4 linked regions of the Ovis aries genome follow. The protein of the gene in region 3 interacts with the protein of the main gene of each other region in a pairwise test. Links are inferred from orthologs where the notes say so. Each region holds a gene or a part of one and is shown on either strand. Other genes may lie near its edges.

Region 1 (5,073 bases), on a different chromosome or scaffold from region 3:
TGCCAGTAGTAGCCCCCATGCCACCCCCCATCCCACCCCATCCCACCACTATGACAACTGAAAATGTCTCCAGACATTGCCCAATGTCTTGCGGAGCATAAAGTCAACCCCAGTTGAGAACCACTGATATAGATGACTATAAAAATAAAATGTGGTAGATCTATGCTCTAGAATAAATGATGCCACCTTTGGAAGCAATGAACGAGGAGTATATAGCTTTAGAACATGAACCAAGCAGAAAGGGGAGGAAAGAGAATATCACAGTACCATCTATACCAAATTAAAATGTATGCGTATATACGTAATTTTCAAAAATACAGATGTGCATATGAGTCGATGTGTGTGGTGGGAAGATGATGAGAGTATAGAATGGAGGTGATGGGTGCAGATTACGAGCCTCTGAGTGTTTCTAAGAAGGAGCTTATATGAAGAGAAGATAGGAAATTGCTTCAGGAACACTTGCTAACCTGAATCTTAGCCCTTTCCCTTATTTTCTCCTCATCAAAGGTGTTGAAGATCACTCTAAGTGGTAGTGACATTATCCAGAGATCAAGAGGAGGGCTCCAATTTAATCACCCCTAAAAAAAGTTTTCATGAAATGTCCTTAATTTCATGATCTGTAAACTGGTGATAACTGTACTCACTTCAAAGCTTTGAGGTAAAGACTGAACAAAGTAATGCCTAGGAAAACATTCTGAAATGCCAAAGCTTTACACAATGGTAAAGGTTTATATCAATCATCTTTGTAAAATTAAGTTCCACTATATGCTATAATTAACGGACTAAATAACTAACAAAGTCTTTCCTAGGAAAAAAAAAAATTTGTACAGTTTTTTTCTCTGGTCTTTATGATGCATAAGCAAGAATATGAAGCAATTAACTTTCTGAAGGTCTATTAAGATCTATTAAGGTCTATTAAGAAGGTCTATTAAGAAGGTCTATTAAGACATTCTTGCTCTTCACTAATGAAAAGTATCAGACTTCAGGGATCATAAACCAATGCTATTTAATTCTAGCACTTTCATATATTTCTAATTTCATATAAATTGGTTCTTTAAAAGCTTTTTGATGAAACAGAAAGTTTCATCAAAGTTAGAGTTTGCTTTAATACAAATTCTTCCCCACTTTGAATTCTTTCCAACTATTCCTTGAAATATAGTAAAACAGCAAACAAAAAAATACTTTTAAAACATAACTTAAATATATTAAATAACATTAAACTTTGTAAAAAGCTCATTGTTTTCAGCTTATTAAGGACATTTGATCTCAGTAATTTAAAAAGTTGAATGATTCAAAACTAAGATGAATTAATTTTGGAAATAATTTTAAATCCTATGTTACTTCTAAAATAGTTTGGATTTGATTTTTTGCTTAAGATTTGATGTTGAGAATGAAATGTGGCCTTTCATTTTAGCTTTCTAGGGGTTCAGAATAAAGATGACAATTTCTCAAATTACATGTAATCCCTGGATTCATCCTAAAGTGAACAGATCATTGTAAGTTTCTCCTTTAAAAAGCACCAAGTGGGCATTTTCTTTTCTGAACTCACCTGCTATGAAATGGGGAAAGTCTCAGCATTTTAGACCAATGTTTTCATGCTAAATCTCTACTTATCAGGAGCAGGATTTTCAGGTAAGGGGTTCAGACTGAAATAAAACACTGTAGGGGGAAAATAGTTCAATTTGTCTTTTCACTTCAGTTTGGGCAGGTTGAAAAATCTGGCAGTCTTTGGTGACCCAGCTGTTTCCTCCTTAGCTTGTGCTGTTGTTTTCCTGCAGCCCTCTCAGCTATAGCCACCTCCCAACGCCTTCCTGACCCCTTTCACTGGATACTTTCCTACCCAGGTTTCCAAACAGTCCTCCAACTGCTCTAAGAACAAAAAAGACAAGGGGATGGGTGAGAGGAAATGGCCAGTCAGCCACCCAGACTGGGGGACCTGAGTCTGGGGATCAGGATTTTGAGACAGGAGTGGCCGAGGCAGTTGCTCCCTGTGCAAACATTTACTGAGAGCTGAGCATGTGCCTGATGCTGTCTGGCCCTGGGATACAAAAAATAAAAAGAAAAAGTCCTTGTCCTTCAAGATGCCCATGATCTCCAGGTGTGCAAGTGGGGCGCTCCGGAGTCGGGTGTCCCGCGCAGCCCACCTACCTCTGCCTGGTGATGAGATTGATGTAGTGTCGCAGCGCTGAGTAGTATCTGGCCAAGTCCTCCGCCGGAGCGTCGTCGCCAGGGTTGTCAGGCTTGGAGGGGTACGCCTCGGCCAGGGCGCCCAGGCACACGAGCAGGGACAGGGCGAGGGTCAGTCCGGACAACCCCAGTCGCTTGCTACCCAGCATCTGCGGACACCGAAGGTGCAGTGAAGGGGGCTTAGGGAATTCAGAGGACGCACGCTCCGCACCTTCCTCCTCTGGCCCCAGCGCCCATCCCACTCCTACGACCCCCACACCCCAACCTTCAATCTATGCTCGAGCCAGTCACGCAGAGGGAGCAGAGAGCGGTGAGACCATCCTGTGGATTCAGGTCAAGATCTGCTCTGGCCCGGCCCCTCTGCTCCGCCCGAAAACTCTGAGCAACTTCAGTCCAGTAGCAGAGTCAAGAATCCGGCGGTGAGAGACGCTGAGTTGGGGAGGCTCCGGCGCCAATTTAAAACACTTTAAAAAACAGATTAAAAGTTCCTCCCCCTGCACTGAGAACTTACCCCTTTCCTACCCTCTTCCCCAAACGCCCTGTTAGAGGGAAGGGAAGAAGTTTCTCCTTTTTAAGTTTTGGTCTGCCCCGCTGCAGGAGCTCGACAGTGATGGCAAACGGTACTCGGGTGGCAACTGGCGAGAGTGGAGAGAACAGCTCCCTCGCCGGTGGGTCTCAGATCGGATCCGAAAGATCCCAAGAGGCTGCAGGGAGCGGCGCTTCCAAGCTCCGGGGATTCCTTATTCGCGGAGCGCTGCCTGGGAAACCTCCCTCCAGGCGGCGACCCTCGAGGAAACGGCCAGCTGCCCTGGGATCGGGCTCCTGTTTTCCCTCTTTATCCACCATAAGATAACCCAGAGGGCCGGCGTAGCCAGGAGGGTCGGGGAGAGGGCAGCTGTTCCATCAGAGGGTACAGGAAGGGGCAGGTGGAATTTAGCCGCCAAGAGGGGCTAGCGCGCGTTGAGGCGCCTGAAAGCCCGGGGCACAGGGGTTAGGGATCGGGGCGCGACCCTCCTCCCAGAGCCCCCGGCAAATTCACAGGCGCCCCCTCTCCCTCAGCTCGCGTCAAGTAAGCGGGTCTTGGCACTCACGGTGGCGGGCTGGGTGGCTGGCGGGCGTGGCTGGGTGGCTAGGGCTCAGTAGTCTGGCGCGCTCTTCTAGGGGTGAGAGCCGGCAGAAGGGGGTGTCCGGAGCAGGTTGCAACAGGGTTTTTATGGCTCTCCCTCGCCACGGCAGGAGGGGCCTCGGGCAATCACGCTCCGCTACTCCCACCCGGCAGCTTCCCGCCCCCGTTGGCGGGGGATGAGGGAGGGGGTCCGGAGCTACTGTCTCGCGAGCCTCGGCTCTGGGAGCCACCCACACCCCAATTTGCCAGCGCCAGCCAGGCCCCAGGAAAGGGAAGCTAGCAGGATGCTAGCGCAGCAACGCGCTCCGAGAGCACAGGACCATGCCAAAGCTCAAGTTCCTGCCCTCCTGCGGCGGCCAAACCTTGCCGTCCTCCACGCCCGGTCTAGTCCTGCCAGAGATAGGAGCAGCCCAGATCATCTCTGTCGCCCGTCACCTGGACTACCACCAGCTGGGCACCAGGGTTGGGGTACCCGTATCCGCTACGTGGTGAAGGCTTTCTGGGATCCGTGTGGCTAGGGAGCGGACACGACTCCTGAGTGCTTTCGGGGGAGACAACTTGGTGCTGGGATTTTCCTGCGCCTAAAGCAGCTCCCAGAAGCCTGCCCAAAGTCCCGAGCTAGAGGACCCCAACGCCCCACTCCTCCAGGGCTGAGCAAAACCTTCTGTGGCTTCGTCCCTTTTCCCAGCTTGGTTTTGGTGGAGACCGGCCCTCTCCAAGAACTCGCCCGAACACTGGAAGTCCAGTTGGTATCCGACAGTGTGTAGAGACTGAGAACTCCTCAGAGGTCGGACACTTTCTGGGTTTGGGGAAAAAGAGCGGAGTTTTAAGTTCGGAGAGACTCCTTAAAGCGCGAACGAAAATTTTTGGTCCAAATCGACCAGGTAGTCAAATGAACAGCAATTTTCTTTTATCTGCTGGCCGTTGAATAATGCCAAATAGGTTTGATTAACGCTGATTGAGAACGTGGGTTCTAATTAAAACTGGTTAAAAAAAATCATTAATTTGCCCATCACATTAAACCTACAGAATGAATATGAAAGATTCATAAACTATTTTTACAGGATCAGGATTTCATGTAGTGGATTAGGTCTTAAAGTTCCCTGAATGAATACTTCTAGAAGTCTGAATCTTCCTAAATAAATGGCATATTAAGGAATTGAAGCACTAAGTTACAAGTTATTTTGGTGCTAAAATGACAAGTGATTTTGTTAAACTGACATGTTGGTTTTGTGCTGTTTTAACAGCATTGAATTAAATATCAGTTATCGTGCAGCAAGCAATCACGTGTGTGTGTGTGTGTGAGGTTTTGAAGACCAACATTCTTTTCACTTAGGTGACTTCCTCTCCCACATTACACAAACATATGCCAGGAACACAAATGCCAGGCTCTGGGGACTGCTCAGGAATGCTTATGTGAAAGAACCTTTGCTAAAGTTAGAGCAAAACATTTTCTAACTCTGATTCCATTCTTGATAAAAAGAGAGGCACTTCTAGTTGCTGGACCATTTCTTTCCTTTGTTTCAAAATCATTTATTTATGCTTATTCTTAACAGTTTGTTGAGATACAACTGAGATACAAATGAGGCTTCCTTGGTGGCTCAGATGGTAAAGAATCTGCCTGCAATGGGCGAGACCTGGGTTTGATCCCTGGGTTAGGAAGATCCTCTGGAGAAGGGATTGGCTACCCACTCCAATATTCTTGCCTGGACAATTTCATGGATAGAAGAGCCTGGTGGGCTACAGTTTATGTAGTTGCA
Region 2 (4,408 bases), on a different chromosome or scaffold from region 3:
CATCTGCTAGTGCAAAACTGCAGTTCCTGAGCTATGTAAATTCACATTCTGTAGGAAGTTTTAAAACAGTAATAAAATCATTCACAATTCCTCCCCATAAGTGCAGCTGTTTTATATTTTTATAAGGTGCCTTCCCCATGCACTTACTGTTTTGATTTCTCCGTTTATCCCATCTAAGATAGCTCTACTCTTGTCTGTCGTTTCCTGTTCTCTTACTCTATTTCTCTTATTAAGCTTTTACTTCTTCCTGTGAAAATACTTAGTCTGTTTGTTATTTTACTCTTGCCAACTAGACTCCATGGAGTAAGGGATTTGGTTTGTCTTGCTTATTGATGTTACCTCAGTACCAGAAGTACCTTGCACATATTAGCTACTCAATAGATGATTGTCAATTGAATGAATATACTGGAATATTTAGTGTATATAGTATATACAGTGGTCATGGAATTCAGTTTAAGGCTGGTCTGGAAGATCTTAGGATTCCGGAAAAATCTAGATTGTATGAACAAAGGACAGTTTGTCTCTCACCTCCTGGCTGGAACATGGACTGGCTTGATGATTTCATTGTGGCTATCACTTTTTAGTCCTCATTTCAAAATGAAAAGGGTGGGGAGGAGATAAAATAAGCTAGAAGTTTATTCTGCAGAAAGGAAGAGAGAATATAAGCAGCTATAGGAAAACCCCAAAGACCTAACAGTAAGTATACACTGTGGCAAACCAGGAAGTGCTCTTTGTCTGAACTGGAAACAATTAAGACTAAAACATGTCCCATGTGGTCTCCTAGGGATTGCTGCAGGAGAGGGTCACTGAAGCTTTATCATCCTTTATTGTCTGTCCTCTGTCTGCAGCTTCTTAATTGTCTGTCAGTTGACTTCCACCAGAGGCTCAGCTTCCAGATCAAGATTAAATAATTTTTACCACATTGGGGTGGAGGAGACCTATCTTTAGGAAGTATTAGCTGTTCTTTTCTTTAAAGTGCAGTATCCAGATAACACATCCATAACCTTGGAGAGTCTGAATATAGTTTCCCAAGGAGCATTGTTAAACATCTTCTCAACTTTGCTGAGGTTTTCTTAAGAGGCTGCAGCACATTTTTTGTTTCCTGTCTCATCTAAAGTAGAGCTTATTTCATTATCCCATAACACTTTTCATTAATTTTCTTCATTTTAAGGTAGTTACAAGTTATTTTTAAATAATGAGATGCTACCTTTCTCTTTGTTTAGTCTAAGAGAAAGAAAACTATATTGATCTTCAAAATGTTATCAAGTTACCAAATAGGAATAAAGAAATGGTTTCTTTTTCTCTATTGTATGGTCACTGAGAATGTATGCCACAGTCACAGCCTTATACTATAGAAAACTCACAGAAATATGTTAAGCATAACACATCTGTTTATGCTAATCACTGGATATGGGTGAGGGGTGTTTTTCTAATTAAGGTAATTTGAGAATCTTAATACCAAGAAGATAATAGTATTTCTTTCTGAAACTGTGCCTTTTTTTTTTTTCAGGTGGTCAAGGAGCTGGTCCTCCTCAAAACCAGATGCAGGTGTCCCACGGGCCACCAAATATGATGCAGCCCAGCCTCATGGGAATTCATGGCAACATGAACAACCAACAGGCTGGTAGTTCTGGGGTTCCTCAAGTGAACCTGGGCAACATGCAAGGCCAGCCCCAGCAGGGCCCACCATCTCAACTGATGAGCATGCACCAGCAGATCGTGCCCTCCCAGGGCCAGATGGTCCAGCAACAAGGAACCTTGAACCCTCAGAACCCCATGATCCTTTCAAGGGCCCAGCTTATGCCACAGGGTCAGATGATGGTGAATCCTCAGAGCCAAAATCTTGGGCCCTCACCCCAAAGGATGACCCCACCCAAGCAGATGCTTCCCCAGCAGGGCCCCCAAATGATGGCACCACATAACCAGATGATGGGGCCTCAGGGGCAAGTTTTGCTCCAACAGAATCCAATGATAGAGCAGATCATGACCAATCAGATGCAGGGGAATAAGCAACAGTTTAACACTCAGAACCAGTCTAATGTCATGCCGGGACCAGCACAGATAATGAGGGGACCAACGCCAAACTTGCAAGGAAACATGGTGCAGTTTACAGGACCTATGTCAGGACAGATGCTGCCACAGCAAGGGCCCGTGAACAGCAGTCCGTCTCAGGTTATGGGGATGCAGGGGCAGGTCTTGCGGCCACCAGGGCCCAGCCCCCACATGGCCCAGCAGCATGGTGATCCTGCTACGACAGCAAATAATGATGTCAGCTTGTCTCAGATGATGCCAGATGTTAGCATGCAGCAAAGCAACATGGTCCCCCCCCACGTGCAGGCCATGCAGGGGAACAGTGCCTCGGGAAACCACTTCTCAGGCCATGGGATGCCCTTCAATGCACCTTTCAATGGAGCACCCAATGGAAATCAGATGTCCTGTGGTCAGAATCCAGGCTTCCCGGTCAATAAGGATGTCACGCTGACGAGCCCATTGTTGGTCAACTTGTTGCAGAGTGATATCTCTGCGGGCCATTTCGGGGTAAACAATAAGCAAAACAATAGCAACGCAAATAAACCGAAGAAGAAGAAGCCCCCTCGGAAGAAGAAGAATAGTCAGCAGGATCTAAAGTAGGTTGTGATAGTCTTGTCTGAAATCTTACTCATTTATTTCTATGTGAACACCTTTTTTGATGGAAATTTTTGAGCATGTATAAGAACAGTATAATGAAATTCCCCATGCTTCAGATTTTCAGCTCATCATCTATCTTGCATTCATTCATGTTCTTCCCATTACCTCTTGATTATTTTAAAGCAAGTTCACTTTAAGTATTTCACTGTGTACCTTGAAAAAATAAGGACAGGTTTTTGGTTTTTGTTTTCTGTTTTTTGTGACCATACAATACGATTAGCACACCTGGAAAAAACTAATGCTTCCTTCATATTCTCACATATTCAGACAGCGTCCAGATTTCCCTGATTATCTCAAAATAATTTTTTTTTTTTACAATTTGTTCAAATAAGGGGCCAAACAAGGTTCATATATTGCAGTCAAATGATATATGTCTCCTAAGTCTGTACAGTCTCAGAGGGGATTGTGCCATTCAGAGCCTGAGAATTAGCCATTGCTACCACACTACAACTCTACAAAGCATGTCAGGCTTATAATGACTGCTGGGGAACCAGAGAGGCTATATGTGTTTTAGGAATGAAAACTACTTACGGAGACTCCCTTCTGTCTCTCAAATAGAAATGTTTTTTTTTTGTGCAAGTGCCTTTCTTTTAAAGGCTCTTTATCATCCTTAGCAGCTTAAAACCTCATACTAAGATGACTAGACCTTTTCAATCAGTTACCCTTTTGGTAAAGATGAGTCTTTTGCAAGATCACAGTGGGAAGGGCAATTAATTTATATTTCGTTTCCTAAAGCTAAGTGTTAAGTCATATTTTTGGCTTTGATAAAAAAGGAATATTGACTAAACTGGATTTTCTGCCTTTAATCACAAAAGTGAAATCCAGAGACATTTATTACCAGAAAATAATGACTAAGAAGTATAAAAGCGGGTTAATTCAAGTAAATTACTAGAATTACAGAAGAGAATAGGGGAGCTTTAGTTAATTAAACATAAATGTTTAAAATAAAACCATCTATTGGATTGGCCAAAAAGTTTGTTTGTGTTTTTCCATAACACCTGGAAAAAAACTGGATGAACTTTTTGGCCAACCCACTACCTTTCTCTCAGTCTTCTTACAGTATGCCTTTGGTGGTACTATAAAACTATATCATATTCACTTTCTTCTTGAATCTTATAAATCAAAAAATAATTTATATTAGCAACCTGTATTTTTCGTGAATTCAAAATTAGTAAACTCTTTGGTTATCTGATTTTTCCAGTAGCTCTTTCTAAGTTAAATTCTTTACTACTATCAATCTGTATGGGAATAATATTTCTTTGGCAATATTTATTCCTCTCAGTAATCTAGGATTAACACTGCAAGGTTCTTCAGTTGCCATTAGTATAGATTTTTGGTATCTGTACCAGCCCTTAGGGATTTGCTTACTTGTTATAGCTACAGAATGTGGAAAGGGCCTTATACCACATCAGGGCTCCTAGGAATGGAGACAGTAAGTTAAAAAGAAGAGCGCATGCTCCCAGCTCTACCACGAGCTTACCATGGAATCTTCAGGCTGTTTTCTTACAGCTCTGTAGGCCTTTGTTTTGTTATCCAGTAACATGAGGTGGCTGGGCCTGAGATATTTTTTAGCAGTATAATTCTTTGAAAGTAAAGAATACTACAGGAATCCTTACCTGTAATTGAAGCAAGAGAGAAGTCATTTAAGGAGCAAATCAATACAGGAATCTAGTTGTGCTTAGGACCTGCTTCAGGTTCTAAATTACCATGTGCTAGAGCT
Region 3 (5,002 bases):
GCCTTCTTCATCTGTAGATGAACACTTAGGTCACTTCCATTATCTTGGCAATTGTAAATAATATTGCTACGAATATTGAGGTGTGTGTATCCTTTCAAATTTAGTGTTTGGGGTTTTTTCAGTATATATCCAGGAGTGGGATTGCTGAGTCCTGTGACAGAGTTCTAGTTTAGCTTTTTTTTTGACCCCAACGAATGGCATGTGTAATCTTAGTTCCGCAGCCAGGCACTGAACCTAGGCCCCCAGGGTCCTAACCACTGGACTGCCAAGGAATTCCTCTAGTTTTCGTGTTTTGAGAAACCGCCATACTGTTTTCCACGGTGGCTGCAGAGACTTTATCGTGTTCACAGATGTTTCCAGTGCCTAAGAATGTATTTGGCACATAGTAAATGCTCCATGGGGCTTCCCTGGTGGCTCAGATGGTAAAGAATCCGCCTGCAATGCGGGAGACCTGGGTTCGATCCCTGGGTTAGGAAGATCCCCTGGAGGAGGGCATGGCAACCCACTCCAGTATTGCTGCCTGGAGAATCCCCACGGACAGAGGAGCCTGGTGGGCTACAGTCCATGAGGTCAGAGTCGGACACGAGTTAGCGACTAACCACAGCACAGCACAAATGCTCCATACGCATCTGTCAAATGAAAAACACCTGTGTCCTGAGACTGGCCGACAAAGCAGCCTCAGCCAATACTTGCTGATTGAACGAAAGCTCCATGCCCTCCTCCACTTAAATCCTCCCTGACCTTCAGGAGCAGGCTCCAACCACCAGATGACCCTGAGGCCCCCAAAGCGCCTAGTCTTATCACCCTGAACCCACCCTAGTCCAACACCAGGTCTGGGGGTTTGGTGTCCATGAAGACCCTGGCAGCCCATTCCCACCTCAGACTCATCCTGAATCAGAGCAAGTTTCTAGTCATACTTTATTTTCCTGTTTTTTTTTTTTTTTTTTTAGTTTTTATTAAATAAAAGGAGCAGAGCAGGGAGCCTGTCTGTGGTCTCTCAGGCTGTGGGAGAGCCACAGGCCCTCCTGCCTCTGTTCAAGGTGCACTGCATGGTAGGCTTGAGGTGTAAGCTGGGCGGGGAGGGCAGCTGGGAGTGCTGGGAGAGGTCAGAGCTCAGGACCCGTGACCCCCTCCAGCCCTCCCAGGAAGACTCAGTGGGCAGGCAGGGAGGCTCCTGGACGCCGACTGGGGCTCATCCTGAGGGCTGGCGGGGGGCCAAGGCTTTAGCTCCGAGCCGCAGGGCGGGAGCCCAGACCCAGCCCGGTCCCTTCCCACCCCAGTGTGCAGTCATTGGGGATGTGCAGGGCAGTGGGGTGGGCCCTTCATTCGTGGACGTCCCAGATCTCAGACAGCAAAGGTGGCAGCTTCTTGTCCTGAAGCCGCAGGGCGAAGACCTGCTCCGAGTGCACGGAGCTGAGCGTGCGCAGGCTCACAAGCTTCATCAGCATGCGGGGGAAGCGCAGCTGGTCCTGCAAGGAGACAGGAGTGGGTGGGTGCCAGGCGGCCCACCCGGAGGACCCCCACCCTGGAGAGGCAGTGTGGGGGCCCCTGGGCAAGGACTTGCCTGACTCCTTAATGATGGGACAGGGGCCTTGAGGACAGGCTGCTGAGAGGACACTGATCAGAACTCAGCTGCTGGGGTGAGCCAGGGACGTAGGAAGCTGACCCTACACAGGTCTAGGTTTCCTTGGGAGGGTCCGGGCTCCGGTACCTGTGGCCTCTTGATGCGTGTGTAAGACAACAGCGCGTCCACGTAGGGCTGCTGCAGGGCCTCGACCCGGCTGGGCTCCTGCACGTTGGGCCGGTCGGCTGAGAAGATGTTGATGGCGATGAGCAGGGCGTACTCCGCGTCATCCAGGCCCAGACGCCTCATGGCCCGTGAGAACTCGAAGATGGGGTTGATGAATTCCACCTGCAGGCCTGTGGAGACAGGAGACTGGCTCTGATAAACACTCTGACCTAAAACTGGCCCCCATGCCTGGCCACTGGCATTGCCCTGCCACTGGCATTGCCCACTGTCAGCAGAGCGAGGGAACCAGCAGCAAGTAGAGCGTGCTGGTCACCCTGTAACCCCACTGCCCATCAAGGGCTTGGCACGTCGTGGGTATGCCATATGTCTTGCCTGAATGAAGCAATGAGTAATAAGTGTGAACATTTATTCAGAAGTTTCTACCACCCCGTCACCCTCTTCGCTTCCTTCCTGGTACCTCTCCTCTGGAAAAGGAAAGGTGTTTAATCCCAGGTCACCTTACATCACCCCCTGAGGTGGCATCCCCTGCTCTCACAGTGAAGCGGAACTCATTTCCAGGTGTGACTCATTCATTCATCAAACTTGATTGAGCACCCACTGCGCATCAGGTCCCAGGCAGAGACATTCTAAGACAAAGCCCCCTGCTCTCGTGGCACTTGCATCTGGGGCTTGAAGAGACAGATAATAGACAGGTCTGCAAGTACGCCATCCACCCTGTGAGATGGTTCTAGTTCTATGGATTGAGGTAACGCAAGGGAAGGTAACGGAGAGAATCACGTCCATATTTTAGACATGAGGGTCACCACAAGGTGAGTGTCGGAAGGCCTCCCTAGCTGCAGGGTGTCTGACTAAAGAGGGGAGGGAGGGAGTTACCAGGCTGTGCGAGTGTTCCAGGGAGGGTGCTACCAGTCTGTTTTGCCTGGGACTAGGCTTCCTAGGCCCTGGACTTTGAGTATTAAAGCTCAGGAGACTTGCTTCTTGCAGAGTGGCTAAGAATCCACATGCCAGTGCAGGGGACACAGGTTTCATCCCTGGCCAGGAAGATGCCACATGCTGCAGGGCAACTAAACCCACGCACTGCAACTGAGCCCAACTGCCTAGGGCCCGCACTGGCAACGAGAAGCCCGCGCACAGCAACTAGAGAAAGCTCGCACAAAGCAACGAAGACCCAGCGCAGCCAAAAACAAAAAAATCTTTAAAAAGTAAGAAAAGCTTGGAAGGCCCCAAGCAAACTAGGACGAGATGGTCAACCTAGTTCTGGAAAGAGGGACCAGCAAACAGAAGCTGTGAGGCGACAGCACATTGGTGGGTTCAAATAACAGGGAGGCCAGCGCGGCTGGGGGAGGGGGAGGGGAGGGCGGGAGGAACGAGGCCACACCCTGCAGGGCCTGTGGGCCAGGTGAGGACTCTGGCTTTTCTCCCACCCAGTGTGATGGGAGCCACGGATGGTGCTGAGCACAGGAGGGACGTGAGCTAACGTGGTTGTTAACTGGATCCTTCTGATGACTGTGAACAAACACACCAGGCTGGGGTGGAGGCAGAAGCCCAGCAAGGGGCCCTGCAATGTTCCCAGAAGGACCAACTGAGGCTTGGACTCTGGCAGTGGCGGAGGATGGGGCGGTAGGAGGAACGAACCTCCGCTCCAGCCCCATCTCACTGCGCTGCAGCTGCCGGAACCTCCCTGTCGTTCCTTAAAACCACCCGCTCTTCCCCACCCAAGGACCTCTGCACATGCTGAGGCCCCTGCCAGAAACACTCTCCCAACCCCTAGTGCTCCCCTGCCAAGCTTATACTCAAAGGGTTACTGGGACTGCCCTGGGTATTGGGAGAGCCAGGAAATAAGAGGAAGGAAAGATGGGGTGAGGAGAAGATGTCCAGGAAGACAGAGAAGTGCCCCACGGAGAAATGACAGGAGAAAGCAGGACTCTCTGAGAACGCCCAGAAGCAGAGAGAGAGGCCCTGCACTTGCGTTCCCTGGTAACTAACACTGCTCCCCACCTCCCTTTCCCTCTGGTCCCACTGAGCCATACTCTCTCCAGAAGCCCATCGCCTCGGTTCCCATCCCTAGGGAAGTGCTCTTGGAGGGCAGGGACCGGGTTTGCCCTGTACAGTTGGGGAGGTTATGTATTTCCCAATGGACTGAGATCCAGCCTCCCTCACATGAGACCAGGGCTGGGGAGCAAAGAGTGTCTTTCCTTAATTCCTACGAAGATGTCCTATATGACAGCACATACCCCTCTGTCGCATCCTGCACCATGTCCCCCCTGTGCAGGGTCAGGGCTCAATAATCTCACTGTGGTCTTAGCTCTCACTGTGAGGTGGGAGGGCTCAGCCCTCACCCTAGTCTGGAGGTGAAGAGATGGAAGCTCAGACAAGGATGTGAGGGCCCGGGTCTCCTGGCCAGCAGGGACCCCACTGCCCAGCCTGCGCTTGGCCGTACCCGCGCGGTGGAAGTCATCCTTGCTGTAGGTGAAGTCCTTTAGGAAAGTGATGCACTCAGTCTCGTGGTTGTAGCGTCTGGCCGTCTCCAGCAGCATGATCTGAGGATGGCGGAGGGGATGGGTGGGCAGGGGCTAGAGGAGCCCTGTGGCCCCTCGGCCACTGTCCCTCTGCTGGCCTGAATGGGGGGGCCCGATCTTGCTGGGATCATCCCCTGCCCGTCTCCACCCCACCCCATCATCTCTCAGCCACAGGGCCTGCAGCCAGCACGCTGGACACTCCAAGCTCTCGCCCTTCCCCAGGTTCGGCACCCCCAGCCTTCTCCACTCAGGACACTCCCCCCAAGTGCTTACGAGGCACAGGGCAGAGCTTTCTCTCAGTCTGCTCCATTCACCACCACGCCCTCAGCACTGGGAATAGGACCTGGCATACACTAGACACTCAGCACTTACTCATTACCACAGTTTTGGTTCAAACATCAACTCCCTGAACAAGCCTTGTCAGCATGCTCCCTAAAGTGTGGCCCTCCAGCCCAACCCTCAATTATTCTCCATCTCAGGCCCTGTTTCCCTTCTCTCCTAACCTCACAAGAGGCTCTGATGACTTATTTAGCATTTGAGGTTCTCCTGGAGAATACCACCCCCACCAGGGAAAAGGCCTAGAGTCTGCTTTGTCCCTATCCTCCCGACATCTCTCCTGGGGTTTATCTCGGGACTTCCTCGAGGGCAGGATGGAACGGCCTCCCCGAGGCTGGGCAGGCTGGCTGTTACCTCAATGGTAGAGGCTTTCAGGAGGGCGATCTGGTCTTCGCGA
Region 4 (4,939 bases), on a different chromosome or scaffold from region 3:
AGGAATGTTAGGACCAGTAAAAGATTTGCCTACTAAGCCCAGGTACAATGCTAGGTAGTGTGGATTTCGAAATAAGAAGCAATTACTGCCTCAAAAAACTCTCTGTGTAGTGACTGAAAGGAATGAGGGTAAGAGGAATAGACAAGAAGTAAATTTTAATTCTACTTTCAAGGAGCATGGTTATACATATCTTTGTCGAAATAAACATGTCACAAATAAAGATTTGTTCTTATCTGTCTGTTCATCTGAACTGTAGTTACCAGCAGGAATTGTTTTGGAGGATGTTTGCATATCATTTTTGAAATATGGGGGAAAAGTCTGAGACTAAAGAGCCACTGGAAATCCATTGCTAAATATCCTTACAGCAAATTAGGTAAAATTTCAGCAGTTATTCTCAAGGATGTATTTCAAAAAAAAATTATAATAATAATAAAGAAAAAAAAAAAAGAGTAACCTTAACTATTTTAAGAACTTCCACCCAGAGCTAGTAGAATTGTATTTTAGTCTGGTTCTTGTTCCAATGGGCAGGAACTTCTAAATTCTCAGCATTAATCCAGATTTCTCTTCGTGAAAATTTACTGATACAAGAGACAGGACCACACATTCTTTGTGATTTGTAGTGTAGAGTGTGAGCTAACCTGCTTGCTTTTACTGACTACAAAAAAAATACAATCCATTGTGAACACCTTTGGGATCCTAAATATAATCGATGACTACTGAATATTCATTGGAAGGGCTGATGCTGAAGCTGAAGCTCCAATATTTTGGCCACCTGACTGACGCGAAGACTCCACTCATTGAAAAAGACCCTGATGCTAGGAAGGGTTGAGGGCAGGAGGAGAAGGGGAGGATAGAGGATGAGATGGTTGGATAGCATCACCGACTGGATGGACATGAGTTTGAGCAAGTTCTGGGAGTTGGTGATGGACAGGCAGTTCATGGGGTCTTTAAGAGTCGGACACGACTGAGCGACTCACCTGAACTCATGACTGTTGCAAACAAGTTTTTCTTAACTCAAAATCTTCCACGTCCTCAGAAATATTGAAAATGCTCAAGAAAAATATTTCTGAAATTAAAAAGGAAATTCGGTAATGGAAATTAAGTGTACTGGGCTACTTTGGGACGTCGTGTTACAAAGACCCAACGTCTAGTATCTCAATAAAGGGAAAGTTTTAATAAAATATTCCTAACAGCAATATTCTTCGAAAAGCTAGCATTTCAGTAAAGACAGCTGGGGCTTTTACTTTGCAAACTGCTTGAAAGCCAAATCGAAAGTGCCAACTTCCACAGAGGTGTTGAACACTAGCACTACACAAGCTCCACGCCTAGCTCTGAGAAGTCGGAGACAAACCAGAGAGCAGGCAGGGTGGGGATAATCTCGCGAGAAGCAACGTATAAATCATTTTTCGCGATATTTGGTGCCCAGCCCCTTTCCCCCTTCTCTCTCTCGCAGGATCACGGTTAATCTCGCGATCTTTTGGAAGTTCCGTTGGGGAAGATGGCGGCGGCCGCGAGCACCCTTCTCTTCTTGCCGCCGGGGACTTCAGACTGAGTCTTCCCTGGAAGAGTGGGACTGCAGGTTCCCTGCGTCCCGGGAGCCCGAACCAACTTGGTTCCTCCATTACTGGTGGGGAAGGGCATATCCTCTTGTGTAGGACTTAGGCCCTCCCCGCCGTCAGGATGAAGGCTCAGGGGGAGACCGAGGGTGAGTGACTGAGGGGGAGATCAGGGGGCGGGACACAGCTGGGGGAGCCAATGCCTCCGCGGGGGCCACTCTCCCGAGGGCTCAGGATCTAGGAGGCGGGATATGTCTGAGTTTTAGATTCTGACTGCCTTCCTTGGTGATGGAGAGCTTCGACTTTGGGGAGATGGGGGCTCCCAACTTGAGTGTGAAGGTTTCCTATTTGGCAAGGGGCAACATTTGGGCCTCAGGGCATTTTTTAGCCTAAAGAGATGGGAGACCGGGCAAGTGAACGTAAAACTTTCTTCTTCAAAAGAGAAATCTGAATGATGACATAAAACAATAATAGGACGCTATATATCAAAGTACTGTAAGATGTTTTGTCGTGAATGAAATGATTAGGTCCTTATGGTATTAAAAGCCAGTAGTTTTAAAAAATGTCACAGCGTTCATATCTTGTAGTATTGTATATTTTTAAAATGCTTTTAATTTCAGTCTTTAAATATCTGAACTAAAAACTGTTGAAAAACACTTTTCTGTGTAACTTTATATTCTCTAAAGTTCCACATTTCAGCTTAGATGCTCCGTTAGCATTTTGGACATAGTTCTGTTGATACAGGATTATTTTTTTGTCTTCTCCAATGTGCTCTGAGCTTTGTAGAGCAGGATCTTGCCTTACTCATCATTGTATAGTCCTGGGCCCATAATGTTGTGTTGTTGTGTTAGTCACTCAGTCGTTTCCGACTCTGTGACCCCACGGACTGCAGCCCACCAGGCTCCTTCACCTATGGAATTCTCCAGGCAAGAACACTGAAGTGAGTTGCCGTTTCCTTCTCCGGGCACATAATAGTTGCTCAAAAAAACGTTTCACTGAAGCATTTTTGTAAAGATTTATCGTCGGCCGCCTTAAGGGAGAGAAGGGAGGTGTGTTTGAAGGAGAAAGAAAAAAGGGTGCAGACGAATGACTAGTGTAAGTGGAATCTTAGTGAGGCAGGAATTTTGTCTAGTTTGCTCACTGCTGTATCTCTGAGATGTAAAATAGTGCCTGAGTGAATGTCTGAAATATGGGAATTGCCAAACATTTCTCCAGAATTATAAACTGAATGAAACAGCCCCAAGAACAGTTTTCCAGAAGATGAAGGCCTTGGAGGGAGGAGTTGAATCTCGATCTGAAGATGTCACTACTTCATCTTTGATTGCTGACATTCTATTCATCTTTCAAGACATCTTTTCTGTAACATCCCTAAACTAATTACACACTTTTCCTCCTTTGAATTTTGATAGTAATGTGTTTCTATTTTTAAGAGCATATCTCATTTTGCTTTGTATGATGGTTATTTTCACATTAACTTATCCACACCCCCTCACAGATGTCATCTCAGGCATATTGTATTTTTGCACTGCTGGTCTCCAGCACAGTCCTTGCTCATGTTAAGCAGTTAAAAGAATTACAGGAGTGTTGGAGGTTATAGGAGGTTCCTTCAAACACTATCTGGGATCCATTCTTTTCTACCTTTCTCTTACCTTTGCCTGAAACTCATCCTTTAGTCACTTGACATTTCCTTTGTTCATATAGTTTGAATTCGAACAGGAAATAGCTGAATGGCAAATGAAGCTTGTTTTCTTGATAATACTTACAAATTGATCTCTTAAAATTATGTGAAAAAATTAAGAAAGTCTTTATTTTCACATTGAAAACCAACTAACTATAGTAAGGCCATGTTCAAATGTATGCTCTGCATATGTCATGCAAAGGATTTCATGCCTATCATGAAATTATTTTGTCATTAAATAGTAGTCTTGATCCTCAGGACTGGAGGTGGTTCTTTTTTTGCTTCTCATTAAGTCTGAAGAGAAAGCAGTCCCCTTCTATAGTGTTGTTAGATTAGGCCCATAATTTCTGTCTACTTGTTATTAGAAATGAATTCTTTGTGTATTTTGAAGTAAATGATATTGGATAAGATTTTAACTTGAGTTCGTACCAGGATGAAGTATGGGAGTTTTGTTTGCAAGAAAAACTGTGGAAGGTCTTGAAAGAAGAGTTGCTAATAATTTTTTCTGATTTATATCTTAGAGTCGGAAAAGCTGAGTAAGATGAGTTCTCTCTTGGAACGGCTCCATGCAAAATTTAACCAAAATAGACCTTGGAGTGAAACCATTAAGCTTGTGCGTCAAGTCATGGTGAGGACTATGGTGAACTGGATAAAGTGTTGTGCTTAGAAAATTATTTGATAAGCTAAGTTACCTATGTAGACTTTTTCTAGCTAGTCATTATGGTGTGTCTTCAGTTTTATTTCTCATAACATGATGGCTTTCAACTTTTAAGTCTACCTAAGAAGAAGATATGTTAATAGAATTGTGTTAATCATGAGTTATAGTAAGCTGGGATATTTTAGGCAAAAGTTGTAAGAAACACTTACAGAGCGTAATTAGTTTCCTAGTGACCTAGTGTTTAGGATTCCCAGCTTTCATTACTGTAACCTTGGATTCAATCCCTGGTTGAGGAACTAAGATCCCACAAGTCCCACAGTGCTGCCAAAAAAAAAAAAAAAAAAGATACATGTGATAGCCTGATATAGAGAAACATTTACTTTTTACTTCCTGTCAAGCTCCTTGATTCTAATGTGTTAATACTTTCATTGTATCTATACTGGTAGAAGAGTTTGCAATCATTTTTATTAACTTCACTTGTTTACTCTGTGACTTCCTCTACAGTACTTTCTCCTTCCTGAGGCATTCACCAGTATGGGGAGCCCTTAGTTAAGTGGTATACAGGGAGTGGGGTGAGTGTATAGCACAGCACTAGTAAAAGAATTGAATTTGCTGTCAGAAAAAGCTTTATTTTAATCTTGACTCCACTACTACCTGTGTAACCTTGGACAAATTGCTTGTTTTTTCCTACCCTCAATTTCCTCATCTAGGAGGTAGAGACACCAGTTTGAGTAAGATGAGCAACACCAGTTTGCTTTTTCGCACAGTTTTGCTGTAAAGATCAAATGAGATAATGAACACCAAAATGTCATGTTGCTTAGAGATTTCCATAACTAAGTTCTACAGACATCTTCTGGCTCAGGATTGTATACATAAAAAAGATTTGTAGTTTTTTTTTTTTAAGTTTCAATGAGAATTTTTCCAGTCTGGGTATTCAGAGGTTGTCATTTTTGTACTAGAAGGCAGCCATATTCTAGTTTGAGATACCACCTCTAAATGATATTGTCATTAGAGAAACATCATGAGCTAGAGGACTCCAGGTGGCTA

Evidence for each region.
Region 1: the proteins of NR1H2 (region 3) and NPY interact in a two-hybrid assay, tested with the Homo sapiens proteins (3 studies listed by BioGRID and IntAct). The link is inferred for Ovis aries from reciprocal best matches to the Homo sapiens genes NR1H2 and NPY.
Region 2: the proteins of NR1H2 (region 3) and NCOA6 interact in a two-hybrid assay, tested with the Homo sapiens proteins (2 studies listed by BioGRID). The link is inferred for Ovis aries from reciprocal best matches to the Homo sapiens genes NR1H2 and NCOA6.
Region 4: the proteins of NR1H2 (region 3) and MED1 interact in a two-hybrid assay, tested with the Homo sapiens proteins (2 studies listed by BioGRID and IntAct, with this or other methods). The link is inferred for Ovis aries from reciprocal best matches to the Homo sapiens genes NR1H2 and MED1.

Annotation. Positions count from the first base shown.
Region 1 is NC_056057.1:73,210,197-73,215,269, forward strand, and holds the start of NPY (pro-neuropeptide Y precursor), read right to left. Parts: upstream 3,352-5,073; 5' UTR 3,279-3,351; intron 3,258-3,278; exon of another isoform or gene 2,699-3,257; intron 2,503-2,698; exon of another isoform or gene 2,453-2,502; intron 2,337-2,452; coding exon 2,149-2,336; intron 1-2,148. UniProt on the Homo sapiens protein: NPY is implicated in the control of feeding and in secretion of gonadotrophin-release hormone.
Region 2 is NC_056066.1:64,076,001-64,080,408, reverse strand, and holds part of NCOA6 (nuclear receptor coactivator 6), read left to right. Parts: intron 1-1,510; coding exon 1,511-2,627; intron 2,628-4,408. UniProt on the Homo sapiens protein: Nuclear receptor coactivator that directly binds nuclear receptors and stimulates the transcriptional activities in a hormone-dependent fashion. Coactivates expression in an agonist- and AF2-dependent manner.
Region 3 is NC_056067.1:56,280,457-56,285,458, reverse strand, and holds the end of NR1H2 (oxysterols receptor LXR-beta), read right to left. Parts: coding exon 4,960-5,002; intron 4,291-4,959; coding exon 4,191-4,290; intron 1,921-4,190; coding exon 1,712-1,920; intron 1,470-1,711; coding exon 1,323-1,469; 3' UTR 902-1,322; downstream 1-901. UniProt on the Homo sapiens protein: Nuclear receptor that exhibits a ligand-dependent transcriptional activation activity. Binds preferentially to double-stranded oligonucleotide direct repeats having the consensus half-site sequence 5'-AGGTCA-3' and 4-nt spacing (DR-4).
Region 4 is NC_056064.1:39,606,386-39,611,324, reverse strand, and holds the start of MED1 (mediator of RNA polymerase II transcription subunit 1), read left to right. Parts: upstream 1-1,471; 5' UTR 1,472-1,680; coding exon 1,681-1,705; intron 1,706-3,755; coding exon 3,756-3,862; intron 3,863-4,939. UniProt on the Homo sapiens protein: Component of the Mediator complex, a coactivator involved in the regulated transcription of nearly all RNA polymerase II-dependent genes.